Linked DNA regions of Lonchura striata. The protein of the gene in region 3 purifies or fractionates together with the protein of the main gene of each other region. This does not show direct contact. Links are inferred from orthologs where the notes say so. Each region holds a gene or a part of one and is shown on either strand. Other genes may lie near its edges. The genes, in order: VOPP1, WBP2 and WWOX.

The links.
Region 1: the proteins of WWOX (region 3) and VOPP1 purify together in Homo sapiens (affinity purification with mass spectrometry; 3 studies listed by BioGRID and IntAct, with this or other methods). This does not show direct contact. The link is inferred for Lonchura striata from reciprocal best matches to the Homo sapiens genes WWOX and VOPP1.
Region 2: the proteins of WWOX (region 3) and WBP2 purify together in Homo sapiens (affinity purification with mass spectrometry; 3 studies listed by BioGRID and IntAct, with this or other methods). This does not show direct contact. The link is inferred for Lonchura striata from reciprocal best matches to the Homo sapiens genes WWOX and WBP2.

The regions. Positions count from the first base shown.
Region 1 is NC_134603.1:105,251,983-105,262,238, forward strand, and holds the start of VOPP1 (WW domain binding protein VOPP1), read left to right. Parts: upstream 1-5,897; 5' UTR 5,898-6,024; coding exon 6,025-6,075; intron 6,076-10,256. UniProt on the Homo sapiens protein: Increases the transcriptional activity of NFKB1 by facilitating its nuclear translocation, DNA-binding and associated apoptotic response, when overexpressed. May sequester WWOX in lysosomal vesicles and thereby regulate WWOX role as tumor suppressor.
Region 2 is NC_134621.1:4,387,215-4,397,993, reverse strand, and holds the start of WBP2 (WW domain-binding protein 2), read right to left. Parts: upstream 4,878-10,779; 5' UTR 4,815-4,877; coding exon 4,756-4,814; exon of another isoform or gene 4,751-4,755; intron 3,154-4,750; coding exon 3,045-3,153; intron 2,513-3,044; coding exon 2,377-2,512; intron 830-2,376; coding exon 737-829; intron 518-736; coding exon 401-517; intron 189-400; coding exon 63-188; intron 1-62. Other genes in the region: E3 ubiquitin-protein ligase TRIM47, read right to left, coding at 9,502-10,127. UniProt on the Homo sapiens protein: Acts as a transcriptional coactivator of estrogen and progesterone receptors (ESR1 and PGR) upon hormone activation. In presence of estrogen, binds to ESR1-responsive promoters. Synergizes with YAP1 to enhance PGR activity.
Region 3 is NC_134615.1:17,594,439-17,605,345, reverse strand, and holds the start of WWOX (WW domain-containing oxidoreductase), read right to left. Parts: upstream 5,124-10,907; 5' UTR 5,095-5,123; coding exon 4,988-5,094; intron 1,983-4,987; coding exon 1,918-1,982; intron 673-1,917; coding exon 615-672; intron 142-614; coding exon 1-141. Other genes in the region: protein NDRG4, read right to left, coding at 10,099-10,253, 10,866-10,904. UniProt on the Homo sapiens protein: Putative oxidoreductase. Acts as a tumor suppressor and plays a role in apoptosis. Required for normal bone development. May function synergistically with p53/TP53 to control genotoxic stress-induced cell death.

The DNA.
Region 1 (10,256 bases), on a different chromosome or scaffold from region 3:
CCCTTTCCACCCTTGTGCACCACTACTCTGTTTATGGTCACCGTGCTCTGTTGTGCCACGTATTCCTCTTCACAGTCCCACCCTGCTCTGTTTCATCCTCTTGTGGCTTTCAGATCCTCCTGACAAAATCTTACTTGCTTTCTGTCTCTGATTCTGCCTGGCCAAAGACAGGTTTCTTCTTTCACTCTCCCTCTCTCCTATATGTGCAATTCAGCCCTGTCCTCCTCTCCTGGCAGATTTGGTCACCTGCCCAGAAGATCTTTTCTTTAGTCTCTTTAAAAACTGTCTGCAGGCAGGTTGGAAAGTTACTGCTCTAATTTGACAGTGTTTGGTACTCACTATGCTCAGGTCTGAGGCAGTGCACACTACACCTAGATTCAACAGCATGTGTTTAGGCTTCCAACTATCCACCGAAATCAGTAACAGGAGCCCAAATAGGAATTCAAAGCCTAAATGTTTCATTGGCCATGAGCTTTGGTGCTGTAACAATACTCTGAATGAACTTAACCTTCCTTAATCCTTCCAGCAAGCACGTTTGTCATTTCACTGTGGACTGCAAATAAAGAGTTTGCATTTACAAATGATCTATCTTCCAGGAAAAATATAATCCCTCTCAGCTCCTGAGTTCTCTAACACAAAGCATTAAAATCTTTGCTGAGGGGATAAAACTTCATTCTTTATTGAGAAAACTGAATAAAAACGCATTTGATCTGATTGACACAGCTATTCTGGTTCAATTGGGTAGTATGTTTAATCAATAAGCTTTGCTTTTCAGAATACTAATGCTTGTAGTTGCTGCTTCTCAAAATACTGTTTGCTATAGAATTATTTTTTTAATATGATGGACAAATATCCAACTCCATCTAGAAATCCTGAAAGTCACAGTGTGTGACAGTGGGGGTGTTCTTTGGGAGCCCAGGTAGAATAGCTTTTAGAGAACCACCCCACTTTCATTTCTTAGCATATCTGTAAAATGTGTTATATTTTCTTTCAAGTGGACATAGACTTCCAGTGTAGTAGTGACTGTGGCTACCGGGGACTTTTATTTGGAGGTCTCAAAGCATAATCCAGTAAGCAGCCATTCTGTTTCAGTTCAGTGAGGTGTACTTAATGTCATTAGTTGTGGAAAAGTGACTTCTACCTGCAGTTTTCAGATATTGATGAAGAGCAATGGATGTAATAGAGTACTAAAATAAGAATCAGTCACTTTTTTTTTTAATCAGTGCCATGTAGCTCAGTAATATCCTTCCACACAAAAAATAAGTTATATTAGCATTGGAAAGAGGGCTACTACATCTGGGTCATCTCTCTAAACCTCCACAGACTCTTACTGAAATATAATTATTGAAGATAGAGACAATGGTATCAATATGCTACTGAATTTGGAGCAGGTTGTTGAAACTTCAACAAGTCCTGAGTCATATTCCCTTTAAAGTTTCATTTAAAGTCAATCACAATGATTAATTACTGGTGCAAGTGATGAAAAAAAAAATTAGCCTTTATTCTGGGAAGTTGGACTAATATTTAACTATTATTCTGCCAAGAGACTGCACCTTTGTGTAAGCTGCTTGATAGTTAGAAAAAAATGGTGTTTTTTTGTTTTTTTTTTTTTTCTTTAAACACACCCTGGATAAACAAATTGCTTTGAACAAGAAACGGAAGCTGCAGGAATATAACGTTGTGTTTGTCTTGGCTTGCTATTGCTGCATTCATGAATATTTTTCCTACCATTCTTTAAAATTAATAATGCTAGTGTAGTTCTCAACAGATACCAGTGATGATTTTTGAAGGCTTTAGGCACTTCCTGAATATTTTATGTACTTTAAAAGGGCTTTCTTTAACTTCCTGATAAAGGCTATTGCCATTTTCATATTTATAAAAAAACTCCAAGTCCTCAAAATATATTTAAGGTGATCCTACACTTAAAATAGAGAGTTGGGAAAACAATTAAGGATTTGGCTAATTTTTAACAGCACCTGTGAAGAAGGTAGTGAAATATTTTAAATACAAAATTGTAGAGGTAGATAATTATTTACAGTTCATGTAGGGAAGCAAATGAAAAGAATGTATTTGTTTGTTCATAATAAAGTGGTTACCAGCTTCACACACAGCCCTTGTGGAATTGAGTATTTCTCAATAGTATTAGAAACAACAGAATTGTTTCTACAGAAAAAATGAAGTGTTCATACAACTAGTTTATTTTTTACTTATTTAAAAATATTCAACTGTTCAAAATAAATAAGGTCTACAAAATATACACATCTATATGCGCTGTGAGTGCCCCCTAGGAATTTTTATACCTGTTACTCAGTTTGAAAAAGAGAAGTTGACCAAGGAGTGGCAGTCTCAAAAATAATGTATGCTCTTACGTTTCAGGAAAGAGAGGTAGTTGAGTAAAAGAAATATGTTAATATTGGCAAACTCTGCTGAGAGAATTATGGCAATATTATTGAGGAACACCTATGAATCCAGAGAGAAGCAGAATATTATTAATATTTCAGCTGCAGTACAAGCCTCAATCAGGTAAAATAAAGCTTTGTTACTGTCACTGCTCCTGTAACTATTTCATTTCGTTTTAAAATATATATATATTTGTTTCTATACAAAGATTCTGGAAGCTCTGTAGTTTTAAGCTTTTTGAACACAGTAACCGAAGAGAAACTAGAATCAGGATGTGAAGGAAGGGGTTGGTTTTTTAGCTAGAGACCTTGCCTCCCACAAAAGCGTTATCTTGTTTCCCCGTTGTGTCGGGCTGCCTCGCCATCAAGCTGCTGCACGGTGGAGAGAAAGTGTTAATTTCTCGCCTAGACAAGCTCTAAGGGGCTCTGCTGCAACTCGCACTTCTGTTGAGAAAATGCCACACGCTGAGCCAAGTTCATTTGTATTTGAACTCCATTGAAGCTAATGGGCTTTCCCTGGGGATGAAGACGGTTTCTTGGAGCTAGGTATAAATGAAAGAAGACATCAATAAGGGGAGCTAAGTTATGGTTGAAATAGAACATGAAACTGTTTATTTTGAGGTCAGGAGATGTTTTTCTTTTTTCAGCTTATGTTGGCCTGGAAAGAATTTTATAGCTCGGGATATCCATACCTTTATCTAGGCTGAATAATAAACTATGCACTGGGAAGCACATGCTTCCACACTGGATAGCTTCCTCCAGCCCACTGCTGCTTCAATCTCACTCTTGCTAATCTGTCTATTGATTAAAAATTTATAATAATTTCAGCCTTTCTTGCCTTAGCTGAAATCTTTTTTTGAGGAAAAAAAAATTCTAACACTTTCTTAGTTCTCAAGCTAAAGTCAGTAGTGATATATGTGTTAACCAGCAACCAAAATGTATTTAAGAGCTTGCTCTTGCCCGAGCACATTTGACAGTGGGCCATCAGCTGAAAATTTTGGCAGGGTCAGCCTTCAAGTGTGGTAGTGTCTTAGGCTGCAAGACTCCAGGCTTCTTTCCTAAGTTTTATTTATGCTTTAGTACTTTCTCAGTTCTCCCAGAATTTGTGCTGTCTGCCTGTCTTTGGGCTGCCAGAGCACCCTTGCTGGGAAACACAGCAGTGGCACAGAGCACTCGTGCTCAGCACTGACATTCAGATTCATTTGATGTCCCTAAACATCTTTATGCTCTTATTCATCTTCTCTATGAAGAGTCATTGAGTGTTTCCAAAAAGCTGTCTCCTAGGTCATGGAACACAGAAATTAGGAATGAGAAGGGAGTTTAGGGTTAGCCATACATCAGGACAGAGCTCTGAAAACCATCTTTTTCACACTTCTATAAATTGGAGCCTTTTTGAACTGATGCCTATGTTGAGACAACATAAGCTGATCCCTCTTAGGTGATACCCAGTGCAGAACATACCTTTCTCAATATGCCAGATGTAATAAAGTGCAACATTTCAACTGAGATTATATATAGACACCTGTGTGTATAATTGCCTTATTCAGACTTCACTGTTGGACAAAGCGATGGCCATGACATTTCCTTAGGGACCTTCTAGCAAATTCAAGTAGAGATGCAAGCATTCATCTGAAAAATTCATCACACAACTTCAGATTGGTTGGCATCAAACAGAGACAAAAATAAGTATCAAAATGAGTGGCCCTCAAGAAGAACTTGTGCAGGGTGCCTCTGAGCACGCAATGTCATACAGTGTGTGGGAACCTGTATACAGCTACTCCTTACTTAGAGCATATGACCTGGGCCTGAGAGCACATATGATTAATGGTACCAGCTGGAAGATGCTTGTAAACTCACCCAAAGTTCACTGTATGGAAAAAGTAACCAGCTGATGATGTTTTGCTGCAATGTGGCATCAGGAGACAGCAAGTTTCCTGCTTGACTACTATGATGACAGAGAAGTGGTGAACAAAGGAGTTGTGAATTGTGAGGATGTGCTAGTAGTTTTTTAATAGGTAACCCACAAAAGAACAGTGGGAGGTGTATCTCCTTCAGAAATGCTGGTGGGAAAGGTCTGCCATTCAGAGGGAAATGGAGCAGTTCTCCCCCTTATCTATTTTGATTTCCCCCTGAGAATTAAGTTGCTAGCTTACCTACAAAGCAGGAGCAAGAGACCTCTAATCCTCCTAAACTCAGAAAAGAGCTGTGCCTCCCTCCAACTGCATACAGTGTGCAGCTTTGGTAAGGGTGCAACGGGCTTGGAAAAGGAGGCTCAAAGCATCAGGACAAGATGGTCATGATGAAGGAAATACCCAAGGCATAACTACAGCAGCCACCTGCAGCTGGAGAGATCAGAACTGGGGTTGGAGAGCACCTCCACTCCAGTTCAGGATTTGTCATGAGACCTTCACAGGTAGATATCCCAGGGCTGTTACCAAGCATGCTGAGGAAATGACTCCTCTGAAATGCCAAAGGGTACTGCATGGGCAAGGGTGGCTAGACACACAGCTCCTGTTCCCACCCACCAGGCTGGCAGAGGGAACACCTTATAGAATCACAGAACCACAGAATGATTTGAGTTGGAAAGGACTCTCATAGATTATTCCATGGAGAGGGACACCTTCCACTACACCAGGTTGCTCAAAACCTCATCCAGCCCAGCTTTGAACCCTTCCAGAGATAGGGCATCCACAACTTCTTAGGCAATCTGGTTCCAGTGTCTCACCAAACTCACTGCAAACGATTATTTCCATGTCCAACCTAAATCGACTCTCCTTCAGTTTCAATTCAATGCCCATTGGTCTATCTCTACAGATAAAAAAAATCCGTCCTTATATTTCTTATAACCCCCCCTTTAGGTACTAGAAAGCTGCTTTAAAGTGTCCTCAGAAGCTTATGTTCTCCGGGCTGAAGAGCTCCAACTCTTAGTGTTCGTAGGAGAGATTATCCAGCCCTCTGGTCATCTTTGTTGCCTCCTCTGGATTCACCCCAGAAGATCGCTCTTCCCGGGAAGGGGTGTCGTGGTCAGGGGCGACCCGCGGACCGCGCGGCTCCTCGGAGGAAGGAACCCGGCACCGTCCCCTCGGGGCAGGTGCGGGGGCGGTGACGGGGGCAGGGGGGATGCGGGGCAGGGCAGACGCGGAGGCAAAGGCGGGATCACGGATCCGCGCATCCGCCGCCACCGCCCCCTCCCGGCCGGGCAGCGGCCGGGGCGGGGCCGGGGCAGGCCGCTGCTCCGCCCGCCCCCGGCGGCGGCGTCTTTGTGCCTCCCGCCCCAGCACCGCGGGTCTCCACCTGGCCTCGCCCCGACCCTGCTTCGCTCGGCCCCGGCCGCCGACGCTGCCGCTGAGGGGATCAGCGGGTCAGCCCGCCCTCGCCCTGCCGCGGGGCTTCCCCGCCCCCTCCCCGCCCCACCGCCGCTCTACCCCGCCTCGTCCCTCTGCCCCCGGTGCGGGTTACTCGCGGCCGCCTCCCCCGGCTGCCGTGAGCCCGCGGTGCGGCTGCCGCCCGGAGCTCCCCCGCCGTCGGGGATGGCGCGGCCGGCAGCGCCCGTGCGCGCCTGAGGCGGAGGGGCGAGCCCGCCGCCGCCGCGGGAGGAGGAGGGAAAGGAGGAGGAGGAGGAGAGATGAAGCGCTTCCAGCCCGGGGTCGCGCTGCTGCTGTCGCTGCTGTGGGAGGTGAGGTGGGCCGTGTGGGGAGCGCTGCCCTGCCCGGCGGCGGCCGCGGCAGCGCCGGGTTCACCCCGCGGGTCCGCCATCGGTCGCGACCTGGACCTGCGCGGCTGGCGGAGGGGAGCTGCAGCCCGCGCCCAGGCGGGGGGCGTGCGCGGAGGCGATTCATGTTGGGTTCATGTCTTCGCCGGAACGGCCTCGGCTCCACGGGCGGTGCGCGGTCGGGAGTGCGGCGGGGCCGCGGGGCCGGGCTGCGCGGGCCCCGGCGCGGCTGCGGGCGCCGTGGTCACGGGCGTTCGCGGCGGCCGGGCTCGCCGCGTGTCCGCGGTCTTACTGCTGGAGCAGAGGAAGATTATCCGCCGTGTGATGGAGCGGAGTAACGCGGGACCTATACGCAGGGGCACAAGCTGCTGGAAGCTGCCCATTCCCAGCAGAGTGGCAGGCTGTCCAGGGGACGCAAAGCCTACGCCAGTCAGTAAGGGTTAGACGGAAGGCGCGTCTCTTATTTTCATTATTCTCTTATTTGCATTTCGTGGGCAGTGTCCATTGCGAGGTAGGTAGGGGGGCAGCGGTGTCAGCTCCCGAGGAGCCGGGCGGCACCGTGCAGCGTGGTTGAACTTTGGGAAAACCTGGATAGCGCAGCTTTCGTACTTACAACAACCAAACAAACAGTGAACTAGGAGCTTTCATTAACTGCAGGGCGGATTTGCGCTACGCAGTTCCAGACGCATGGAATAGTTTGGATTGGAAGACACTTTAAAGATCGCCTAGTTTAAACCTCCCTCCCGTGGGTTGGGATGACACTGGATGAGTGGGTTGGGAAAGCAGCTCTTTTTTTTTTTTTTTTTTTTTTTTTTTTTTCAGCAGGCAGATGTTTTCTGGGGGCGAGACGTTTTCTCTCGTCTGTGGTTTAACCTTCGGGCTGGGGACGGGCAGGGGGGCAGCAGCACCCCCGAGCCGGAGGATTGCGGCTCCCGGCGGCAGGCTCGGCAGCGAGCTGGAGTCACCGCCGGGACACGTGCGGTGGCAGCGTGCCAGGGTGACTTCGGAAACACCCGTGGGCTTCTCTTAGGCACATCTCTACGTTCATGAAACCCAGAAGCAATGTAGCTGAAAGTGTCCGAGAGGTGAAAGAGCTGTGTTGCCTCTGTGACAGAGCAGTTTAGACAGGACATTAATTAATTTTTTTTAAAAAACGGCATGCCACCAAACTCCATATATGGAAACCAGAGTGCTGGCTGTGTAGCTACTAATTTTGGTAATGGATATAATTAATGAAAATGATGTTTACTACATGTTTATGCCACCTACGTGGATGAATGATTTCTGGTGTGTTGCCCACTGTGCCATCCAGCATCATCCCATTAAAACACTCAGATCAAAATCATTGCTTAATGTAAATAAGCATAACTCTTTACAGGTTAATTGATTTGCATCTCTTTTCCCTGGCTGTAAACCTGGCCTTGGTTCTGGCCCTTAATTGCACTTGACTCCACAGCAGCTCTTCAGAAAGCAGGAATAGCAAAATGTCGATTAAATGAAACAAACACCACCATTTCCCCAAGAGATTGTGTTCATCTGAGACACTGAAAGGTTTCACCCCTCCAGGATCCCTTTGATTAGACGTCTCTGCTCTCTTAACGTGTATTCTGCTGAAAAAGATCATTCCTGACTGCAAAAAGTAATTTGCATAAATCCTCATTGGGTCTAGCCAGTGTTGCTGTTATTTAAGCTTTTGTACTGGTTTTAATTGTGGGTTTTTTCCCCCTTTTTTTTTCTTTTAATCTAGAATGTTTGTTTTGCCATCTGGTTTTGTGGATTTTTTTTTCTTTTTTCTCGGGAGTTCTTACATTGCCTATTAAAATGAGATGCTGTGTAAATAAGGCTGTATTCTACATGCCCAGAAATGGGGTGCTGGGGGTTTAACAAACTTAATCGGAGACATCTGGTTGCTTTGAAGATTTTTGGTGCATGAAACTTTTGATGTCTTCTGGACAAAGTTCTGCACTGGATATTATCTGAAATAACATTGTTGCAATCGTTTTAAATCTGTTTGCAACTCCAACATGATCTTAGTAATTACTGAACAGAGCTGAGAAATATGGTTTTCATTCATCAATTTGCAAAAGGCTCTGACTCTTACCCAGGTACTGTGGGGAGGAACCCATTTAGTCTGCCAGGGCACTATGCAGTAGTTTACCGATTCCAACTATGTTTTCCCTGGGTAGATTACCCAAAATACTTGTAAAATATTTATGTGTTGTGAAACCACTATTTATGGTTATATTGATGAAAGGAATGAACTTGACAATTAAGTATACATCAAGTTCATGGTGGGTGTGAGTTTGGGTGTGGGGAGTGTGTGTGTTCGTATTTTCAGACTGAAGTCTAGTCAGTAGCTGGCTGTGGCAGTCTCTCCCACGAGGAACTGAGGGTTTGCTGTTCCTGATGTAAAGGCAGAAGATGCAGAAGAGGGGCTTGAGGGGCAGGGGCATGTGCTGGTGGGTGGTTTCATGAAGGTGACAAAAGGCATCACCATCAAAGCAGGATTTACACATAAGAAATTGCTGGCTCTTGGTGCTGAAATACCTCTCCTTATTCTAGACAAGCTTGAGATGCACTAATTACAGAAACAGCCAGACCAGTGTGATGGTGGGAGAAGGGAATTAATTTTGAGTTTTCTTGTGTGATGAGGGCTTTTTCAGTGCAACCACAAAGACCATGGTAGTAGAAAAATCTCCAGCCTCAAGACCCAGAAAGCTCTCCTCTGAGAAGACATTATTAGGGGAGAAAAGCTAAAGATGTCCTGTGTTTTGCTCATGACTTAATTGCAGTTGAACAGCTTAACAAGTAAGGTAAAATGAGGTGGACAATTTGACAGGTAATTTTGGTTCTTGCAGGAAGAAATGAAGACTGTTGAATCTTTATCTGTCTTTTTCAAATTAATTTGACTACTTGGAGATAGCAGTGTGTTATTAACTGCAGTTATTTGAAATGCCCTTTTTCACCAGGAGCCTGGATGACTGGTGTACTCACAGTACTGACATCTATGATTTCTTCACTCACAAATAACCAGTAGTCTTGCTTGCTAGCTTGGCTCGTGGTTCTGTCAGCAGAACTGTATTTTGTCTCAGTTGGCTCTCAGTTTTATGGAAAGATTTGAGGAGGTCCTTGAAGTGATGACTGTTTGGGGCATATATATCAGTATTTTCTGCTTCTCTTTAATCAGTGATCCCAAGGGCTTTGGTTGTCTGAGCTTAAATATGACTTTAATGAATAGTGATGTCTTTGGAATAGGCAAAAAATAAAACTAAACAGGCAGTCCCCCCACCTCCTGATAAAGCAAGCTTATTTTCAGCCTGAATGAGGGTACCAGTGTCTCTGTGGGGCTTACATCTCAGACTGAGTGCTTGCTTTCTCTCTCACAAGCTGTAGCAGTGCTGGATGGAGGAGAGCTCAGCAGCTGAAGCTCAGCTCAAGGATGGGGAAGCTGAACAGAGCTGTTGCAGGCCTATAGAGGACCCTATCTGTGCTACAGTGGTAATAATGGTGTTTTATTGTTGCTGCTGCAGAGAAGCTTGCTGGGTAGCCTCAACTTTCAAAACTATCAAATAATTTTAGATGCCTACACCTCTGGTTGGCTCCTATGTTGTATCCAGGAGAGTCTAGTGATCAGTAGAGTCCTCTTGTTAATTTGTCAGATGAAAGATACTATGCAAGAGTCAAGTGCCTTTTTTAAAAAGAACAAGAAAATGGACATGTCATAGGAATGGCAAAATGTGTTGTCTTGAAAGAAAATTCAAATACTCCCGACAGTCTGTCATACAAGATTTGTTTTAGTAACAGCAAAGTTGGCTGGTACTCCTCAGTTGGTTAACTGCTGTATTGAGCTTTTTATTATTATTCTTGTAAGTGGGCTTCAACATGAAAGATTTTATCAAATCAGAGAAACCAAAAATTTCTGTCCTTCCTGAAGAGGTTTGTTTCTAGTTTTTCTTTGACTGTTTGTGTTTTGGGTTTTTTTTGGGTTTTTTTGTTTTTTTTTTTTTAGTCTTTGTAGGAACGAGAATGTTAAGATGAGGAAACCCACCAGTCTTAAAGAAAAAACCTACATTTTAATAATTTTTAAATTATTAGGTAGCACAGTTGGAGTTCAAGAATTTGTGAGGACTGCTGCATCCTCCCCT
Region 2 (10,779 bases), on a different chromosome or scaffold from region 3:
CAAAGTCTGCTTCATCCCTAACACAACTGCTGTGAGTTCATTCACCTGGACATGCTCCTTACCTGCAGGAGTGGAGGGCAGGTCTGGGCCACTGACAGGGGGGGGTTCCATGGGCCCTGGGTATGGAGGGGGTGGAAGCTGCATGTAGCCCATGTTTCCAGCGGCTGCAGGAGGACCAGGATAAAAGTCTGTCAGGAAAGGAGATCACACAGCAAGAGGCTTAACTCCTCTGGGTGGAGTTCTCAACCAAAAGAAGCCAAGGCAAATGTAATTCAACTCAGGAAAAAAAGCTACACAAGTCATCACTAAAACATTGAGTAAAATCTGATTTTCTTGCCCTTTTTACCTATTTTAACTCTTCCTTGCTGGAATAACCCCCAGCCTCAGTTGCCAGGCTTACCTGGAGGAGGAGGTGGGTATGGATAGCCCCCATTAGCTGCAGGTGGTGCAAAAGCATAGGATCCATTTGGCATGTAGGAATAGCCATAAGCTCCACTGGGTATTTCACCTCTGGAGACTGGGAAAGCAAAGACAAGACTCATCAGAACATCAAGCCTGCCTCAAAAGCAGGCCAACAACTCCAACAAACTTAGAGAGACCTTATCAGAAAAACAAATAAGTGTCATCCCAATAAATCTGCTGCTCGTTGGATTGAGAAAAGTATGTTTTAAATCAAGCATCAGGCAAGGGCTCCTGAAACCACAGAACTCTGGCAGACACCCCCAGCCTTCCATACCTTGTGATGCCACCTGCAGCATCCGCTGCCCAAATTCAATTGCACCCCCAGCTGAAAAGGTCATCTTGAATGTGGCAGATCCTTCCCAGCCACCTGGGGGAGGAAAGACAGCACGAAGGAGAAACCATTTCCATGCTATTTAGGTTACATGCTGCACCTACAGATGCTCTGTATATAATTCTTAAAAGAGCTTATCCCAAAAATCCAAATTAAAAAAGAAAAAAAAAAGCAGAGAAAGTGGGAGAATTATGGTATCATCAGAAAAATTCACACTGGGGTATTGTCAGGTCAAGAGACACCTGAAGCAGAAACATCCATGAGGGAGAGCTTCAGAAGCTTTCTGGAGTTGTGGCTATTGCCACAGTAGCTGTCAGAGGCCAAACTGTCTGGAGTGCTGGATTTGCTCTTGCTTTGGATAAGATTAGTGCAGAAGGCAGGGATTTTGTTAATCCTGTTTGCTAAAAAGCCTCTACAACTACACCTGTCAGCTCCAAATTAGTTTGGGAGTCTGAGTGCCCAAAAAAGCAAAGAACTTAATGGAAAACATAGTCCACATAAATCCATTAGAGCCCATGGAAGATATTTCAAGTCAGGATAAAAAAAATCAGAAAACAAATAAATTAGTGCCATCTCACATTACAGTACAAAAAAGAAAAACATGCACAGTCCAGAGTCCCAAGAAAGCATCAAAGCAGAAGCTGTGCTGAAACAGACACAAGTAGATTAAAGAGCTTTTTAAGCTAAACCAGACTCTCATGGCTGTTAAGACAACATCATCATTAAAGGAGATGGCCTCTGGGGAAAATTAATGAAGATCTAGCTAAAACCTTTTGCCTTTCACACAGTTTAGTTTGTCATTAATGCTCAGGCTCCCTCCCATGCTGGATGGTCCCACTCAGCTCCCATGCAGAGGCTACAAAGCTGATTTCAGAACTCCAGCTGAAGGCTTTTACACCCTGTGCTGTGATTTCTGTGCCACAACTGTTAGACTGAATCAAGCTGAGGATGAAAGTTTGCTGAACTCTGTGCCTTTGGTAAAAAAAAATCAGTCAAAACCAAAATTATTTTTGAAAATGTCTGCCACAGCCTTCTCATTGAGTTTAATGTGAAACAGCTCCTTAAATTCCCCAATTTCAAGATAATCCATTCCCTTCCAAGTGCCATTTTCACTGCCAGGATGCACTACAGCAATACCACACCTGCCCTTGAACTGCACAAGAAACACAATGGAGAAAGGGCTCTGGGGGTCTGCACCTGAACCCAAACAGAGCAGAAAGGATCTGAGTTTTTGGCACAGGAGAACCTGGATGCAGGTGGGATAGGTGATCCCAAGTGACCAAAGCAAAATGACATCTTCATTCTTGCTGACTCCACTCTGGTGTTTATTTGCTGAGATCACTTGTTTGATTGAATTTTGTATTTTGCAGAGGGCAGAAATGAGATGGTTTGCAGAGCACATCTGCTCATTGTAGCTGAGCAGGGAGCTGGTAAGGGGAATGTTTTTAGCTGCCAGTGAAAGAAACATATTTTCACATGAGTGTGAAAACCCATTTGGACAGTGTCAAGGTTTGGTTAGCCAGGATTTTGCTATGAGTGAGCAGCTGAACTGAGACACAGAACATCCATTATGTGATACCCACCTCCTGCCTCTGCCTTCACTGTGCCCTTGATGTAATTTGCTCCAAACACTGGCTGCTTAATTTCACAATCCTTCAACAAATAAAAGGGCATCACAAATGACTGCATAGCATCCTTCCCCTTTGACACAAAGATAACCTGAAAGAAAATAACATGAAAAGAGCTAGTCAAAACAAACAGGAAACACAGCCCTGATTTATTTCATGAACAGATTTCTCCATGGACTGAAACTCACTCCAATATCACCAGTTCCACAAGCCAAAAGCTACACACAGCAGCCACAGGGGTAAACCAAATCCTCAAAGTACTAAAGCCTTCCAGGAAGTCCCTTGCTCAGGTAATGCTCCTTCCAGCTTCCTGAGAACCTGCTGCCCCACACAGCTATGATTTAGTAGCTGTGCTGCTGCATTCAGCATTTCCAGACCACTGCTAATTTCCAGTTTGAAGATGCCCGATGGACTAAACAGCTGCCTGGACAAGAACTAATCAGATTTATTATCTGCTGACAAATAGATGGGATACACCATGAATTCACAATGCTTCCCAGTGGGAGAGGATGAGCCACACTTCAAGCAGGAGTAGATTATCCTGACTTTTATACACTGAGGACATTTAAACAGACTCCAGGGCTGTTATCTCCTTAGATGAGATAAAGCCTTTCTCCACTTACCCGGTAGGGAGTCAGGAAAACACTCCCTTTCTTGGTGCCCTTGAAGGCCTCTGGCATCGGCTCCAGATCACTGAAGGTGATTTCTACGTGGTCATAGGTCATCAAAACACTGCACAAGTGACACAGAGACAGCAGTTACAGCTCCAGGCACAAGTGCAGCATGCACAGAAGTTTACTGACCTACCAAAACCACCTGTAACCTCAGCACTGAGGGAGATGCTGAGCAGACAGACTCAGTTCTGGTTTGCCTTTTTTTGGTTGTTGTTGTTGGCAGCAGCAACTGAAGTAGCACTGGCTGCTTGTTCCCTTCCCAGTGTGCTGACACAGCTGCTGCTGCTGTCTGCACAAGCAGGCAGCAAACCTGGTCAATTGAGCTGATCAAAATCTCAAGGGCTTTTTTTTTTTTTTGTTTTAAATTGTTTCACATTTCTGCTGGATCAGTTCCCTAATTCAGTTGCCCACAAGTGACACGACAGAGGAAGAACTGCAGGAGAAGAAAATGCCCAGGCTGGCTTATGTAACACGGCTGTTGAAGGTCTCAAGCACCTCTGACACAAAAATGTGATCCAGAAGAACTCCCCTTCCTCACCACAAGACTTCATTAACTTGTGTTGCCTGCACTGATTCCTTAATTCTCAATTACAAACTGACCTGATTAAAACCTTTGCACGGACATGGCAGGTAACTTGTACTGACATTACAGCACCCACATTAGGGACTCTAATCCCTAAAGCTGCAGAAATCTCCACCACCTCTATCTTTGGCAGCTGATGTGTTTCCTCAGTCATTTGCCAGTGAATGCCTGTCCCTCCAGAACAGCTCGGGAAGGGCAGTGGGACCAGCTCTGTTCTGGCTGCAGCATTTCAGCTGGATCAGCAGGCAGGCCCTGGTGCAAGGCAGGCTGACAGCTGGGAACAGCAACCCCTTCAGCTGCTGCAGTTCTCTCAGGGAATGCATATCTAAGTACCTGAGTTGATCCTTCTAAGAAAGGCCACATCCCAAGTGGAAGCCAGGCACAGAATTCCCACACCAATGTTTAAGCAGCCCCGTGGAAGGAAGGGCTGGAGGATGAAGCACTCCTTTGTCCCCGAAGCAGATGCCTGCCACGTCAGAAGCTCGCTGGCAGACAGGGCTGCGGACAGCCCTTTGCCGTGCAGACAGAGGCGGCTCTGTGCAGCCTTGCCGTTTCCATGGTTATATCCCAGCACCTTTTCCCAAGGCTGCTGCTGCCTCCCGCACACACAGAACGGGGGCTGAGCTCCAGGAGCCCGGGGCGGGCAGCCCCTGAGCTGAGGCACGGTGCAGCTGCAGCCCCGCCGAGCGGGGAGAGGCCTGGGCCCAGCCAGATCACCTGAGCCCTCCCGGGGACAGCAGCAAGAGCCAGCAGCAGGCTGGGGGACAGGCTGGATGCTGAGGGAAGCGGTGCAGAGGGGCAAGGCCCGCGGCTGAAGCCCAGCAGCTCCCCTCGCACAGGCCCTGGGGCAGGAGGATGCGTACAGCCCCTAAGCCGTAGGGAGATGAGGGGGGAACGCCGGCACCGAGAGGGTTAAGCCACCCCCTTTACGCGCCTCGCCCCCTCAGCACGCCCCGCCATGACCCACACAACTGCTCCCCCTGAGGGAAGGCAAGAGGAGGGCGGGGGGAGAAGGCAATTCGCCGCTATCCCCCGGCTCCCGAAGCCGGAGGAGGGGAGAAGGGGATAGCACCTCACTTCTCGCTGTTGTTAACGATGACGCCGCCGCCCTCCGAGTGGTTCTTGTTGAGCGCCATCGCCGCCTCCTCCTCCTCCTCCTCCTCACAGCATCGACCCCGCTCTGCGCCTGCGCGGGAAAAGCTGCGCCGTCAATGGGACCGAGGGGCATGCTGGGAGTTGTAGTCACCGCCATCTATGGAGCGGATAACTTATCTTTCTCCGCGCGGTGCATGCTGGGAGTTGTAGTCCACCTCACACCACCTTAGCGCCCGGCCATTTGCCCGCGCGGAGCATTCCGGGAGCTGTAGTCCGTCCATGCGCGGCATTTACACTCTCCATGTCTGCCACGCGGTGCATGCTGGGAGTTGTAGGCTGACCTCACCGCCTCAGGGCCTGGCACTGTCTCTCTATAATTGGTGGCGTAAAATAAAAATAATCCCGGATATCTGGCGGTTCTGCACGTGAAATGAGGTTTATCCCCTTAAACGGCGAAGATGCTTCATTTCCCATAATTTTTTAAATTCCCACTTGATGTGCATTTCCTGGTTTTGCACACTTGCAAACAGATTTTTGATCCAGTTGTTGGCTGCTTTCAGTGATGGAATCAAGCACATCCAAAATAATCCCTTTATACTGAAGTGTATTAAACTAGAAAGACTAACCAGCTGCCCTGTAAACAAGCCAAGATCGTGTCTGTGTGTCTGTCAGAAATCTGGGAGCAAGAAAATAGCTGTGGCATCTGCAGGATGGGTCTAAACTCTTTACCTTCAGGTGTGCAAGTTGGAGGAATTAAAAAAAGTAATGATTGCACAACTTCATTTAAAAAAGGAACCTGCAAACTTGTTTGAAGGGCTCCCAAAGATCAATAACTGACAGCTGTATATTAATAATATACAAATCAGAGATGTATCACCCTTTATTATATAATTTTAGATGGATCTGAGCTATTCCCTGGATTTGCAGCCCAGTTCTGTCTGAGTGCCTGAGAACCAGATGCGAGCAGTGGGGGAAAGCACAAAAACGACATAATGGAAACCAGATTTAAATAAATGCAGTGACATAATCTGTATGGTTTCTTGGCAGGAAAATGACAAGTTTGTGCTTTTCATATCCGCTTTTTTAATAAGCAGTAAGTTTCCCTTTTAAGAAACAGCCATAACAAACAGTTCTGATTCTTCTCCTATTAAAGTCAGGAGCAGAATCCACTCAGCTTCCACTGAAACGCCCAGATGGAGCATTGGCACCTCACATGAATTAAGGCTCACCAAGTAACATTTTTATCCTAACTCCAGTTGACATTTGGGATTAAGAAAAGCAGGCTTCACTTTACAAAGATGCTTGCTGTAATTGCCTGTGTGTGTGTGAAGCTCTAGACCTCCTCATCACACAGAAAACCCTGGAAATTTATACTCTAAAACTTAAAAACACTAAGGAAAAAATACCTAATCTGATAATCTTTTTTATTTGTAGGATGAGGACAGACATATAAGAGAGAACTGAGACAATTCATTGTTTTGAATTGCCCAGGGCTGCCAATTATTATTGGATTTTAAGGTTCTTCCGCTCCTTCTGCAATAAAAATGTGTATATGGCAGAATTCCCTTGGACACACTTAGAAAATAAAATCTGCGTTATTTTATGCCAGATGTACAGGACACAGAAAAATAAACATAAGATAATGGGACAAGTCAAATGGTTTGGTATTTAAAGGAAAGACAACCCAGGGCAATGATTGTATCATATTTAATGGTCAAATCATAGTCTCTAACACCATTATATTATTCTGTTACAGTTTTTTCACGCACTGTAAAACACCCTACAGTTACTGTATTTAAAAAATCCTAATTAAAAAGAGGAACACTCTGTGACAGCAGAAATAACCCAAGGGAACAAGGAAAGGCTGATTAAATTGCTAAAAGTGCTGTCGGCCCATCTCAACTCATCTCACCCTGTGTTTAACCCTTTGCTTACAGCAAGATCAGGGATCCAGAGCTGGCGCAGTGCACGTTCCCTGATCCTTCCAGTTTACAAACTCCTGGCAGCACAGAGCACACTCTGACCCAACTCCTGAGGGGATTGCTCCTATTTTAAACCATCCCTAAACCAGGAGGGTTTTCAGCACTCCCAACCAGGATAAAAGCAAGCAGCAGGAAAGAGAGGCTTGGGCAGCACTTCCCAACTGCGGCACATCCACAGGAGCCCCCAGGATGCTCCGTGGAGCTGCATCCCTGAACCCACCCAAAGCAGCAGCACAACCACACACCATGGCCAGACACCCCAGGGGCTTCTTGAGCTGCTCCCACGCCGTGACAGGGTGGAAAGAGAAGATCCCTCTGAGCTTCCCAAGCCCTGAAGGAGGCCAGAGGTTTGTGTCCGAGTTGGGAAAGTGGAGAGGGGTGGGATGAGTGGCTCCAGTGTGGGTTTCCCCTTGGAGCAATCAATCCTCCTACAGAGAAACAAAACAGGGCAAAGACCCAGATGTGCTGTGTTTACTCTGGCATAGCTCCTCGCTGCAAACTGTGGGAGTTTAGCCTGAATAAATGAGATTTAGGGTGCAGACGTGGGCCCACGTGGGAGATCTCTTCCTGCAGCGATGAAGGCTCCTTCCCTTCCTTGTCCTGCCAGGATGTGACTGTGCACAGGCTGTGGCACTGCTCTGCCTTTCTCCTTGCATCAGGAACTCTGACACCACGTTCTGCCCCCGTGCCTGCTCTGTGTCACCGCTGACATCTCGTGCAAGGGCTGAGCTCTGCAGGGGCTGCTGGCGCCAGCCAAACAAAGAGGGTTTGGAGCTCAGGACGCAGGGAATGAATTCCCATCCAGACAGAAGTCTGGGCAGCATTCCCACCAGCCAGGAAAGGCCAAGATTTCAGCTGGAGATTTCATTCTGGAAGCCCTACTGTTCCTTTTCCCACTGCTCGCAGCAGTTTAGGAGTAACCTCCTGCAGGGGAGGAGAAGGAGGAGGAGGAGGAGGAATTTGCAGACAGATCCCAGCAAGCCCCTTCCCAAACTGACTCATCAGCCTTGTCCTGGGGAAGGGGTGGCTGCTTTCAGACCCTTCATCCACTAAAATATCCTAATTTTCAGGGCACTGGCAGCTCTTTCTGCACCAGCAGAATCTGGCAACGCTGGCAAAGGAGTCACAGTAAAGGAGCTCTTTGAGCCTCAGCATGTAAACGTGGCTTTAACTGCAAACCTCCCAGATTTGTGCCTGCCTTTTATTCACATTTTTCCCTTGGCTCCACTTCAATATAGCACTATGATTTTCAGCTTATCCTTTGGGAAAAAAAAAAATCTATATATCATATATTTAGCTAAATGGGCTGCTTGTTATTCCTGCTGGTTGTTGCATCATCCCTGACTCACTCATGCCAGTGAAGAACCTGACCCTCTGTATTTTCTCTCCAGGTGTACATTATACAGCACCACGGTTCTGTAAAGCAAGCTTTGGGAGGTAGGTAGCAAAATAAACCCAGAAAAAATAAACTTGTGGAAAGGCATGCTGTGCTGAGACAGGGGCTGCTCTGTGCTTTTTCCTTCTGAAAAAGCTCCCTTAGGACATGTGAACTGGCAGTTTTGTCTCTCAGCCTCGAGTTTCCACCTCTCCTGAAGGGAACAGTGTTCCCTCTCATTTGAGAGTAATTTTTGTTAATTGTTACTTATTCCCAGAGTCCAAAGGGTCATTTAGTAGCTGACTGATGCTGCACCTTTATCAAGGCACTCACAGCTGTCCTACAACACTAAAACCAGACCATTTATCTCTGGGACATATTCACAGCACCTCTGTCATTTAAAAATCCCTAAGCTAAGGGGCAGATTTTCAGCTCAAGTGTGCCCAGGGCTCTTGAAGAGTTGGTCATTTAACAGTACTAAAATCCCCCAGAACAGTAGTGCCATCAAAAACATGGGGGAAAATTTGGCTGTAAAGCTTTGCTAAGAGTTACCAAAGAATGTGTTTACTTAAAGTATATCCTCAAGACTTGGTTTGTGCTGCTCCCTTCCCCATCTCCAGGTGGGAACAGTGGTTCTGCTTCTCAGCAGGAGGTTTCTCCCTTTCCCAGCTGGGCAGAGATCCTTGTTTCACATTTACAGCACTAATGGTGGGCAGCCCTGCAAGGAGAGGTGCTGCATCACCCCAGCATCACCCCAAAACCCAGCCAGGCTCCTCCATGTCCCTCTCCCTGGAGCACCATCTCTCCCATGCCAGGGCACAGAGGGGATGGGAAGTGACCACGTTTGCTTTGGGGGTTCACCTGGGCCACACAGGGCTTGCTCCATCAAAGGCACTTCACGAGGAGCATGCAGAAGGTGTCAATGAGGCAGCACTTAAAAAAGCATCAGCACAGAGCCTGAGATAAGGCACAAAGCATCTGCACAAGTCGCCGGAGCAGAGCGAGCAGAGGTGAAGCAGAGGGACTGGGCAGGTGGCCAAGGCACAGCTCTAAATCCGTGTGGCACTTCCAAGCAGCACACTTTACCAAGAAAGGCTGTGGCAGTCCCTGATGTCCAGAAAGGGAAATCAAGGGGCAGGGAGCAGCACAGGGACTGGCCCAAGCTCACTCAGGGGCACAGCTGGCACTGGGATCCAGCCCCATCCTGGCCCCCAGCCCTGCCCATCAGGAGGCTCCATCCAGCCCTGAGTGCCCAACAGTGCAGAGAGGAGAGAGGGCTGCCACAGAGACAGACAGGGCTACCAAAGAGAGGTGGCAATAGCCTGCAGGAGAGATTTCTGTGGCTCTGTCCGTGCCCCTCTCCCCGGGCAGTCACCGGCGCTTCAGCACCGACACACAATCCCTCTTCAGCGGCCCGATCTGCAGGTGGGCATCCACGCTCTCCAGGAAGAAGGCTGGCTTCAGCTTGCACGAGAAAAGAGAGGCAAACTGGTGGTTGATCTTGCTCTGGAACGGGTCAAGCTTCCCCTTGGCGGAAGGGGAGACCTTGAGCTGCTGCAGGCAGGTCATTTTGGAATCCTTGACTCCATAGAAGGTTAAAGCCCTTTCGGAATACTCCAGGAAGACGCCGATGGTGTGGAAGAAGGGCTGCTGGATGGCGTGCTCGAAGCCACCAAACCAGGCCACGTAGTTCTGGCCGTTCCACTGCAGGCAGCAGGACCTGTCGTTCCTGCCCAGGCGGCCGTGGTTGTAGGCCTCCCGCGGGTCGAAGTCCTCGGCGATGACCCCGATGCTGACCCAGCCGTCGATCAGCTCCACCTCCCAGTAGTAGTTGCCTCTGTTCATGAGGTTCAAACCCAGCACCTGCTCGCAGTTGATGAAGCGGGTGGGGCTCTCCGGGTAGGGGATGGGGCACAGCACCCGTTTGGCCCCCTTGGTGCCGAACAGCTGGATGAATTTGTCAGCTGTGTCACTGTCCAGGTCGATGATGAAGGCAACTGCGTGGGGAAAGAGGAAGAAGTGAGTGTGCAGAGGGAAATGCAAGGAAATCCTCCCTGCCCCAGCCTTTGATGATGAGCATGATCCTTTCTGACCTTTCCCATCACTCTGTCCCCTTGCTTTTAAGTCCCATGGCAAATCGCAGTCAATGAGGATGAAAGGCTGAAAGAGCTGACAGTCCCATAAGCAGGATGAATAGAGGTAACTGGGCAGAGGAGAGGGCAGAGGGGCTGCTTGATGAGCTCAACTGTGATACCAGGCATTGGAGATCCACCTGACAGACTGCTGGTAAGGAAATCTCACATAAAAGCATATTTCAGGCAAATATGATAAATGCACTTGAGAGAGACCCTAAGAATAGAGAACAGCCAGGTATGCCACAGCTACAAACAGGCATCCCCCAGCAAGTGCAGCCATGTGAGAGCCACTGGTGGATACCAAACAGAGAGGATGGCCAAGGAAGTTCTTCCAGGAAACAACTCTGGGCATGGATCACTATCAACTGCATTGCAGCCTGAACCATGGCACGTCTCAGTCTGACAGCAGAAGAGCACACCCTTCTTGAGCCAGGTTTTGCTGCTCTGTGCCACTGAGGCAGATCTTGTCCCCTACAGACATGTCAGATGTGACCCCATATCCCCTGTAAGGCTG
Region 3 (10,907 bases):
CCACTCAAGTCACGTCCCTGGAGAATCTCCATTGCAGTACTGTTCCCATCATATTTTTGTCTAGTAGTAGGCTTCACTGGATTATCTTCAACTGTAAAGGCCAGTCTTGGGTCAAGGTAGGTAGTCCTTTTGTTTATATGGCTGCAAAAGAACACAAAAACTCAACTGTTTGAACCCTTCTGCTCTCTGAATTTAGATTTTAAATGTATTTAAACCACTGCTGGGTACAACTCCAGTGGATTATTTAGATTCCCAAAAATATTTTTTTTTCAGTTTGGTTGAAATTATCCCAATTATTTTTTTTAATCAAACATTTTTCCAGTTGTGACAGCATCCATTAATAATTGTATTTACATACTTCTCAAGCCATTCTGAACTTCACGCAAACCCCTGACATAAAAGGCAGGACTTTGCATGGGGAAAAAAAAAAATCTTGTTACATTAGAGAAGATCATATTCTCTCTTATAGCAAGTCTATATTGGATTCTGAAGCTGCATTTATTAATCTTTTTGTCTTTCCAGCTGATATTGTCACAGTATCATAACTCAGGAGGCTACTCAGCATGTAACCCAGCTGTCCTCCTTCTACATACTCCACAACTTGAGATACTTACTCCACAAAATAGACTTGCCCATTTTCATCAGTCTCCTGCTCCCATCCATATGGCAGATCTAGGAAGCACATTAAACATTAACTTTATTTTTAGGCATTAGCATACTCTTCAATTTGAAGTTTAAGTGATTTCTGATGAGACACAATTCTGCATAGTTTTCTGTAGGTGGTGCAGCTACCTGCTGCCCTTGAATTCAGAACTTGACAGAAAGTTTGCTTCCCTAATCACACACAATTGCTCTCTCCTAGAAATACAATACACAGAAGATCTGGTACAAGTGCAATGGCTGGCAGATTAAGTATAAAGACAGTCTAAAAAATCTTTATAAAGATTATTTCATGTTATAGCAGAGAAAAATAAAACAGCAAAATGCAACCATGCTGCCAAGCACATACAGATCTATACTACTCACAGTTCAGTATCTACCCCTGCTAAAATAAAAAGCAAAAGCTTTTTAGGAAAAGTTATGTGTAACACATACCAAAAGCTGAAAGATCAGAACCCTCAAGTGGGCATGAGATACAATAAATCAAACCTAAATGAGTCAATGAAGCTGGAAGGATAGATAGAAGGAAAATGACAAATCTCTACATAACAAGTTCTTATATCAAAGAGTCTACAAAGGTAGTTAACAGATGGCATTCAGAGTATTTCTAACCTTAGCTAGAAAGTATTCATTTCACTTCCATTAACTTCAGACTTGGTGAAAACATTCCACTTATAGTCAGATTACCAATGCCAAAAGAAACATGGCTTGCCAACAGTGTAGTGTCCCCAGGTACAGAAGCTTCTGGGAAGATCTGATTTAAGGCACTGACCCAAGGTCCTTGAAAAGCTTTTTCCCCTGGAATTTTCCTGCAACACTGCCTGCCTTCTGTTCTGGCACAAATATTCAGCTGGGTTGGGGAAAACAGGTAAAATGAGAACTAATGAGGCTTCTTTCTGTGCCAGGGATACTCCTTGATGAAATACATTCTTTGAAAAATATTATCCAACTATAAATATTATCTGACGGACACCAGGAACACAGAACCCCAGCTTTTGACTATATCCTTTACAAGCCACAGTAAAACAAACTGTGTAACCTCGAATTGGTACTTTGGCCTTATGGAGCAATACAGAAAAGCCATAAAACTGCAAATCATCACACAATCACAGGGGTAAAACCCCACTGAAGTCAGCCATATTCTACCCACTCAGAATCAGTGACAACTCAAAGATCAAAATGAGATCAGTTGGAGTTTGTGGAGGAACCAGGTGTTTGTAAGATAATGTCAGCTCATTACAGAAGTTTAACACAAACCTCCTGCAACACGTTTCCTCTTCCCAGACTTAGGATGTTCCCACTGTGTTTTTTCTTCTAGGTGGCTGCAGGAAAATAAAAAGTTTAAGATTTTTTAAAACTGCCTAATAAGCTTTCTGATGTAACCCAAAATATTCCCCACACTTCTGAAAATAATCAACCAGAGAGCACAGGAGTCTATAAAAATTCAAATAAATGTTTGACTTCCAATCCAGGTTTTGTTGATTATTAGGAAAAAAAAACAAACATAAAAACACATTTAAAAATAACATTAACAGACTCAGAAGACACCTCAAAAAGATGATGATCCTTGGCAGGAGTAAGGAAGAAAGAACAAGAAAATAATTTATTACCAGCTAGTAATACTAATATTAGAAAGTCTTCAAATTACAAAGGTACCTTTTTAAAACTCCAGCCTAAGAATATTGATTTGTAGAGTATAATATACGTAAGTTGGATTTCTATGAGCAATTGTATCTTTGGACAGATAAGTTTATCCAAGGACCTTGACTAGCAGGATATTTATTTAACATACATAACAATGGTATCCTATCTTTTCTTCAAAATAGGAGACTTCATTCATTTAAATCACTAACAGAATTAAAATATTCCATTGTAAAATTTTCTGCACTGTAGACTAATAAGCAAAGTCATGTGCATATACACAATGTCTTAAAATAACCAAAGTGCTGAAATCGAGTTGGACATTACCATCTCATCTTTCACTGAGTATTTTTAAATAATAACCAAGTTTTAAGAGTCAGGCAGGGATTAATTGAGTGCCCAAATTGATAGCTGCCCAAGTGTGAAATAAAGAGTGACAACAGCAATAAATAACACACAAATAATTACAAATAACCTACAGGCCCAACAGCAATTTACACACAACATAAGCAACTTTCCCTTCTTACAGCAAGCCCACAGTGACAGCTCATGGTATTAGAGGAATCACAGCTGGGGAGCTGAGACTAAACACGTGCACATGTGTGACCAGAAAAATAGGAGATATTTAAGCAAATTACAGCTGCCTGACAAACAGGCTGTGTCCACCTGTGTGCACACCTACGTGATCATAAATACCTTTAAAAGCCTTCAACTAAAATAATCTTTTCCAGCTAGAAGTTCATATTGATGATAAGGTTTAAAGTAAATTCCCAGAATATGCAGAAAAATCACACATACAGAGTGTATACTTAAAGGCAGCGACAGTGTAACACCTCTTCACATCTAATATATTTTTGGACATATTGAGCAAGATTTTAAAACAGTTAAGATATATTATGTAATGTTGTTAAACTGAACCAGTCCAGTTTCACAAGAGTTCAGAAACTGACCTGTTGAACTGACTGTGTAACAATTATGCTCAATAACACCTTGTTATTTCATAGGTTTGTTACTTTCACCAAGTGAATCCTTCCTGACAGGGCTCTTGAAGTCAAGGGAAATATACAATCAATTGACCTAAGCAAAACAAACACCTAGAGAGTAATCGCAGTGTTTACAAAGTGTAGATAAACTAAAGCATTTTGTCCAGTGTTAATAAGGGCAGAACCTGGGAGGACAAGGCGAACTCACCACCAGTGAGACTGAAGCATACTTTCCCACCTTGTTGTGGAAGGGAATAACTCTTGTAGCTTTAAACAGACGGAAGGAAAACCCAAGATGAGCATGGCTACAGAAACCACACAAGAGGAGAGAGTGTATAAACACATATTCTCCTCAGTTAGCTCATCCTGCATTTGTAACCTGGGAGGATGGAATCGTGTCCAGCGGCACGGGCAGAAGGTGCAAAATGCAATTCCTACGCAATTCTTCATCTCGTGCCCAAGGTGCACTGAAGAGACGAGGAACGCCATGCACAGCGTTGAACTTCCCATCGCACCTGCTTCTCTTCTGTTCCCACAAAGAAGAAACCGACCCACCTGCAACATTGTGTAAGCCTCACCCAGAACGCAGAAAGATCGCCCACGGAGCCCCGAGGGCACTGGAACAGCCCCGGGATGGCTCCGGCCGCTCCCACCGGCGGCTCCGCCGACCCTCCCCGGCGGGGCCGGTGCCGCCGGCTCGGCACCGCGCACACGGGCACCGCGCGCACCGGCACCGCGCACACCGGCACCGCGCACACCGGCACCGCGCACACCGGCACCGCGCACACCGGCACCGCGCACACCGGCACCGCGCGCACCGGCACCGCGCACTCGGGCACCGCGCACACGGGCACCGCGCACTCGGGCACCGCGCACACCGGCACCGCGCACCGGCACCGCGCGCACCGGCACCGCGCACACGGGCACCGCGCACTCGGGCACCGCGCACTCGGGCACCGCGCGCACCGGCACCGCGCACTCGGGCACCGCGCACTCGGGCACCGCGCACACCGGCACCGCGCACCGGCACCGCGCACACGGGCACCGCGCACTCGGGCACCGCGCACTCGGGCACCGCGCACTCGGGCACCGCGCACACCGGCACCGCGCACTCGGGCACCGCGCACTCGGGCACCGCGCACACCGGCACCGCGCACTCGGGCACCGCGCGCACCGGCACCGCGCACACCGGCACCGCGCACTCGGGCACCGCGCGCACCGGCACCGCGCGCACCGGCACCGCGCACACGGGCACCGCGCACTCGGGCACGCGCGCACCGGCATCGCGCACACGGGCACCGCGCACTCGGGCACCGCGCACACGGGCACCGCGCACTCGGGCACCGCGCACTCGGGCACCGCGCACTCGGGCACCGCGCGCACCGGCACCGCGCACCGGCACCGCGCACACGGGCACCGCGCACACGGGCACCGCGCACACGGGCACCGCGCACTCGGGCACCGCGCACTCGGGCACCGCGCGCACCGGCACCGCGCACTCGGGCACCATTCCACAGGGTGGCTGTGGCTGCCACAGCCTCGGAGCCCGTCCCGCACACCAGCGGGCACCGCGCACGGGCGCCGCGTCCCCGCTCCCGCCCCGCGGTCCGCCCGTGAGGCGCGGCTCCTGCCCCGCACCGAGGGGCGGCTCTGCGGACCCTGCCACAGCGCTCCCGGCGGGCTCGCCCCGCTCCCGCCCTTACTTAGCATAGTAAACCCAGCCGTCCTTGGTGGTGCGCTCCTCCCAGCCCGGCGGCAGCTCCTCCTCGCTGTCCGTGTCCTCCAGCCCCGCGTACTTGAGCGCGGCCATGGGCTCGGCGCGGCCCGCTCGGCCGGAGCGCCCCGCTTCCGCCCCGCCCCGCGGCACCATGGGAGCTGTAGTTCCGCCTCACGGCCCGGTGCGGGCATGGCCACCGAGGGCATGGGCGCCGCGGGGCGCCCCGGTGAGCGCGGAACGGGGGTGGCAGGGGTTTAGGGTGCTCTGCTCAGCCCCAGTGAGGCACGTCTGGAGTGCTCTGGGATCTTCAGCACCAGGAGATAGAGGAGAGGGTCCGCAGAGGGCGCGCAGATGATGAGGGGTATTGTAAATGCAGGCGAACCCAATGGGAAGAAATGACTATGTCTGACTCAATTCAGAAGGGTGAATTATTTCTTTATTGTAACTATGCTAAAATACATTAATATACTATATAAAAGGAGGATACTCAAACTACATACTGCTTTCTCTGACTCTATCTCTAACCCTCCCACAACTCATGACCCTCTCTGAGAGTCCAGCCCCAGGTGGGTTGGATTGGCCAAGACCTCAAACAATCCTCACCAGAATTCAACCAAGCACTCACCCCAGCTAAACAATTCTCCAAACACATTCCACATAGGAAAAACAAGGAGCAGGAATATATATTGTTTTCTCTTTCATTTCTCTCTGTGCACCTCTATGAAAAATCCAGAGAGGGAGAGAAATGCGCTTGCCACAGGGGTCTGGAGCAGCCGATGTCAGGAGGGACCGCAGGAGCTGGGCGTTTGGTCTGCAGAAGAGAAGACTCAGAGGGGAGCTCATCAATGCATAGAAATATCTCAAAGACTGTGCCAAGGGGGTGGTGCAAGGCTCTTTTCTGTCGTGCCCAGCAGTGGGATGAGGGGCAATGGCCGGAAACTACAACACAAGCTCCACCTCGACATGAGGAAGAGCTTCTTTACATGGAGGGTGGCAGAGCTCTGGAATAGCTGCCCAGAGAGGTTGTGAATTCCTCTCTGGAGACATTCAAAACACACCTGGACATGTTCTTGTGCCACCTGCTGCAAGTGACTCTGCCTTGGAAGGGGGATTGGACTGGATGATCTGCCAAGGTGCCTTCCCATATGAGCAGTTTGGTGAATTTGTGCATTTAGTGCTTCCAGCCCTGTTTTCAGAGCAGCGAATACAGCTAGGCCCTGGGCAGCAATGGGAAATGAACTGTTCTTTAAGCTGTCCCCACCTCATCTCGGGGATGAGATCTTCCTCATCAGCGAGGGATCCTTGCTGAGGAAGGCCTGGCAGGAGAGAAGTACCTGTCTGTGCTAACACCCACCTGGGACCTTGCAGGCAGCTTCACCTGCTGGGAGGCACAAACACAGTCACCCTTGCCAAGCCTGGCTCACCTGGGGACACAGCACAGTCGGCTGCTAAGGCTGGAGCATTCAGGGAGTTGGCAGAAACCTGCAGTAACTCTGTCCTGGCAGCTGAAGCCCTCTCCCCTGTACACCTGGGACAGATGGAGGGGGAGTGCCTGGCACCATTGCTCAGCTGCTTCTGATTCCCAGACCTGTGTGCTGTCATGTTCCTGTTTACATAACCAAACCCAACAGCCAGCGGTTGTAACAGCATTGTTGTCCTTTGGTGGGGTGTTTTAAACAAAAAACAAGGCAAAGGCGGCGTTGGGCAGAGGCTGTGAGCACTTCAAACCGCACCAGATGGCAGTGCAGCCTCACAGATGCACCGCAGGCTCTAAGTCGAATTTTCATGCACTATTTGAGACACTGACCTATATCGTTCCCTCACTCCCCGCTAATGGCATCCATATCTGGCCAGAAAAAACAGCCTGAATTTTTTTCTGCCCTGCTGCTCCCATTGTTTTGCAGGTTCCTCCAAGGGATTACACGTACTAAATGATCTCCTGCTAGAAATAAAAACTCATGCATCATCAACAGCCTGTTCTCATGAGAGTATTACTGGCAGTATTAAAAAAAACTGTGACTATACTTTTTTTGGGTAAATATATGGGAAGGGAAGCTTCAGTGACTCACTTGCTTCTGGTCCAAGAAGAGGTAACTGAATGGTGAGATGGGCCAAGTCCCAGGAAAATAGATTATTTAATCTGAAGAACAGAGTTTTAATCTAGCAGTAGCAGGGATATGGAGTTTTCAGTTTTCTTCCTACTGCAGTCTGTCAGCATTCAGCATCTAGCACTCCATGAATTGCATTCAGTGGGAATGTGGAAATCATTTGTCTGACATCCTATCCCAGCCATGGCCCTTTGCATTCCCCCCACATGTCCAGGCTTTCTGTGCCTCCCCCAGGGAACCATGAGTGTGGACACAGCCACAGTGTCTCCATGCTTTGGCTCTGGGCCCCTCTGCAGGGCCTGGGACCAGTCTGGAGTGACCCAGCACAAGGCAGACACTGACAGACTCCACAAGGACTAGGATGCAGGGACAGGATCCTTCCCAGGCAGGACTTCATGCACTTGGAAAGGGTTAAGACCTGGGACACTTAATGGGGAGACAAACAGGGGCCCTGGCAGTGGACAGGGAAGCTGAGTTTCCCAAGGACCCTGCTCATCCCCAGAGTTGTGCAGCCACAGATCTTTTCTTCCCCAGTGGGCGCCCCTTGGATCCAACCTCACTGGGCTACAACTGGCAGCTTTCCAGCTTCCATCCACTCTTTACATACAGGGCAGCCTGGCTATGGCTACCCTGAAGCCAAAGCACCCCACAGCTTTCCCCCACGTGCACCCTGGGGTCCTGTGGGCATCACTAGTGGGGCTGGTGGCCAAGGTGTGTCCCCCTTGTCCTCCCCGTGCCTGCCAAGTCTCTGCAGGCAGGCCCCAGGTGGGCTCAGACCCATTTCCCTACAGCATGTTGTAAAGAGCACAGCAGGTTCTTAACATCTTTATTAGTTAGTTGGTTTATTTCCAACACAGTAACTCCTCTCTACAGCAACAGGTTAGTTAAATCCGGTTTACATATTGCTGTCTCATGAGTGCTGCGGCCTCGATGCCGCTGTGACAAAACCAGGCTGCACTCAGACAGGAAAACATGTTAAATTCCGCTGTGACTGGGAAAAAAAGGAAAACCAACAAAAATCAAAAGAACAAACCACCAGGGAAAACCAAACCAACCAACCAACAAAACCAAGGTGAGGAACTGAAGGTGAGCACGGCCACACCACCTCCAGGGAAACCACACGGCACTGCTTGGACAAGAATGCAAGGAGTGAACCCAAAAAGGTCAGGTATTGGGCAAACCCTTATATATATATTATGTATAGGTATTTATATATATATATCATCTGGAAGGACACGCTGAGAAAACAAGAGATCGCAGCGGTATCTACCGTAAAAAGGAGCTACGTAGCTTTCAGAGTCACACCAAGAAGGAAGCACACAGCAGAACAAAGTGGGGGACAAAGGGGCACACTGGTGTTTTGGGGTGGCCTTTTACTATGAGAGGGTTTGGGTGGGGCATGGGTCTCAGGGCCAAAAGCCCTCATACACCCGCTGGGAGCCCCAGGAGCTCTGTGCCCTTCACTGGGGAGCAGGGATGGGCTCTGAGGGTAGAATGCTTTTGTGGGGCTGGGTGGGACCTGCTTTCAGCGGGCTGGTTCTGCTCGCCCAGGCGGTGGCACCTGGTGGGTTCCCTGCTCAGGTCCCCCATGGACCACCTACAGAGACCTGAGCACCCATCAGCAGAGGCAGGGCCACCCTTAGCTGTGCCTCACAGCGTGCCCAGGAGGGGCTGGGCACGGCAGCAGAGGTTGGGTGGCCATCACTGGGGTTGTGCAATGGCAGGAGCCTCCGTGCCGAGTGCAAGAGGCAAGAGCCACCTGGAGTTGGTGGCCAGAGGGGGCCCCACGGCCCTGAGGGAGCCAAGCCCTTGAGAGACGCCCCGCTCAGCGCGCAGGCAAAATGCTGGAGCTGGGGTGTGGATCTGGGGAGCCACGGTGGGTCTGGCAGCTGTGTGGGCAAAGACAGAGCATGGAGTGCTCCCCACATCCCATAGGGCACCCCACAGTGTCAGCACCTTGTGGTGAGGCACCCTGTGGGGCAGAGGGTGCTGAGGGCTCCCCAGAATGGTGGGGGGAGTGTCTCATCTTATTGCTAATGGCTCCTCGGTGATGACACCCACAGGTTGTGGCAAAACTTGAGGTGGGATTTGCTGTGTGACATCCCCTAAAACAGTGGCCTCTGAACCCTGGCAGGCTCAGCCCAAGAGCTGGAAGTGGAACTGACAGTGTGACAGGGGCCAAGCCAGCCAATTCCCCCCTCCCCAGTGCATTTCTGGTGGCAGACAGTAATTGTCCTTCTTGCAACAAGGGATGAAGGAAGTGCCACCACCAGTGAGGGCATGGACAGAGGCAGGGGGACACGCATGCCACCCTCCTGCCCTTAGAGCTTCTGGAGTAGGGCTGACCTCTCTTCACTTGCCCCAGGGCAGCCCTCAGGGTACATGACCAGGGCGAAGGGACAGTTTGGGATGTGATTTCTCACGAGGCTCAGCCAGCTCTGGGGTAGCAAGTCCTGGGTGTGCTGGGGGATCCCATGCTAGCTCTCCCTAGAGAGGGCCATCAGGGAGAAATGAAAACTGCATCCCTAAGAACAGACCAGTGACCTCCCTTTAAGCGCTGCTCCCTGTTCCCGTCTTCCTTTTAGGCAGCCATCAGTTGAACTTGAGAGACCAACCTACCTCCTGTGTCCTCTCCACGTGCTGTCCCACCCCATCATTCCGTCCCACCCCAACATCCTGTCCCCATCTCATCACCCTGACCCTGCTACCCCATCCTGGCCCTGTCCCCCTGCCACCCACCCTCCCAAGCCGGAGCCAAGCCGATGCTGGGGAGGGTGAGGACCAGTGCAGAACCATGTGTGACTGCTGGATGAAGCCCCTCTCCTTCTCCTGTACCAGACAAGGGGATGAGGCCAACGGCAAAGAAGACAAATTGACCCCAAAGAAGCGAGGGCCCTGGTGGAGGGTGTCCACGGGGCAGGTGGGTGCTGGCGGGATGCTGACGGATGGGAGATGGCTCTGAAGGAGACGTCGGCGGCGGGCGTGGACCTCAGCACGATACCTCCATGGTGTGGTTGATCTGCCCCATGGCCTCGGTGCTCTCCGAGTGGGTGCAGGCACGTGGGCGGGTGCCATCCACGGAGCTGGCGCTGGTGAGGGAGGCGGTGCGGGAGCGTGCCAGGCGGGTCATGCTGGCAGATGGCACTGCACGGGCACAGAGAGATGGCCAGGGTGCTCAGATCCCTCTGAAAACCTGAGGGACTGAGCCAACATTGCCAGCAGCCCTGCTCCCCGATGCGACTGAGCCTGGGCACAAGCTTGCAGCAAGCGGTGGTGTGACAACATGAGCAGCTCCAGGTAAGGGACAGCAGAGCAGGGCTGCTCTGGGCAGGCTGAACACCGGGCTCACTCCTGGGCATGCAACCTCTGGGCATCAGGCAGTGGGAACCCTGGACTACCACGCTCCAGGAAAGGAGTGAGCTGGGATCAGAGCTCCCCTGGCTGCCCAGGGTGTGCAGGGAAGGTGGCACCCTCCCCTAGCCAGGATGGCCAGTGGGCATAGCTCCTGGCTTGCCTGGAAGAGGGTACAGTGAGCACATTGCCAAGACTGTGCCTGCATGGAGAGGGAATTCTCTGAATGCCATTTCTCAGCCCTCAGACCTGGCATATGTTGCCATCTCAGGCAAAGCAGAGCAAGACAGTGGGAATCTGGCTGGGAATGGCCAGTCCTGCACCCAGGCTGCTCCCAAAGGTGCCCAGGCAGCTGGAGGGCACAGGCCAGGCAGGCACCATGCAGCAGTGGGCACTGAGCAGTACCTGTGCCTCCACTCAGCCTCCGATCCTTCAGGTGGGTGACTG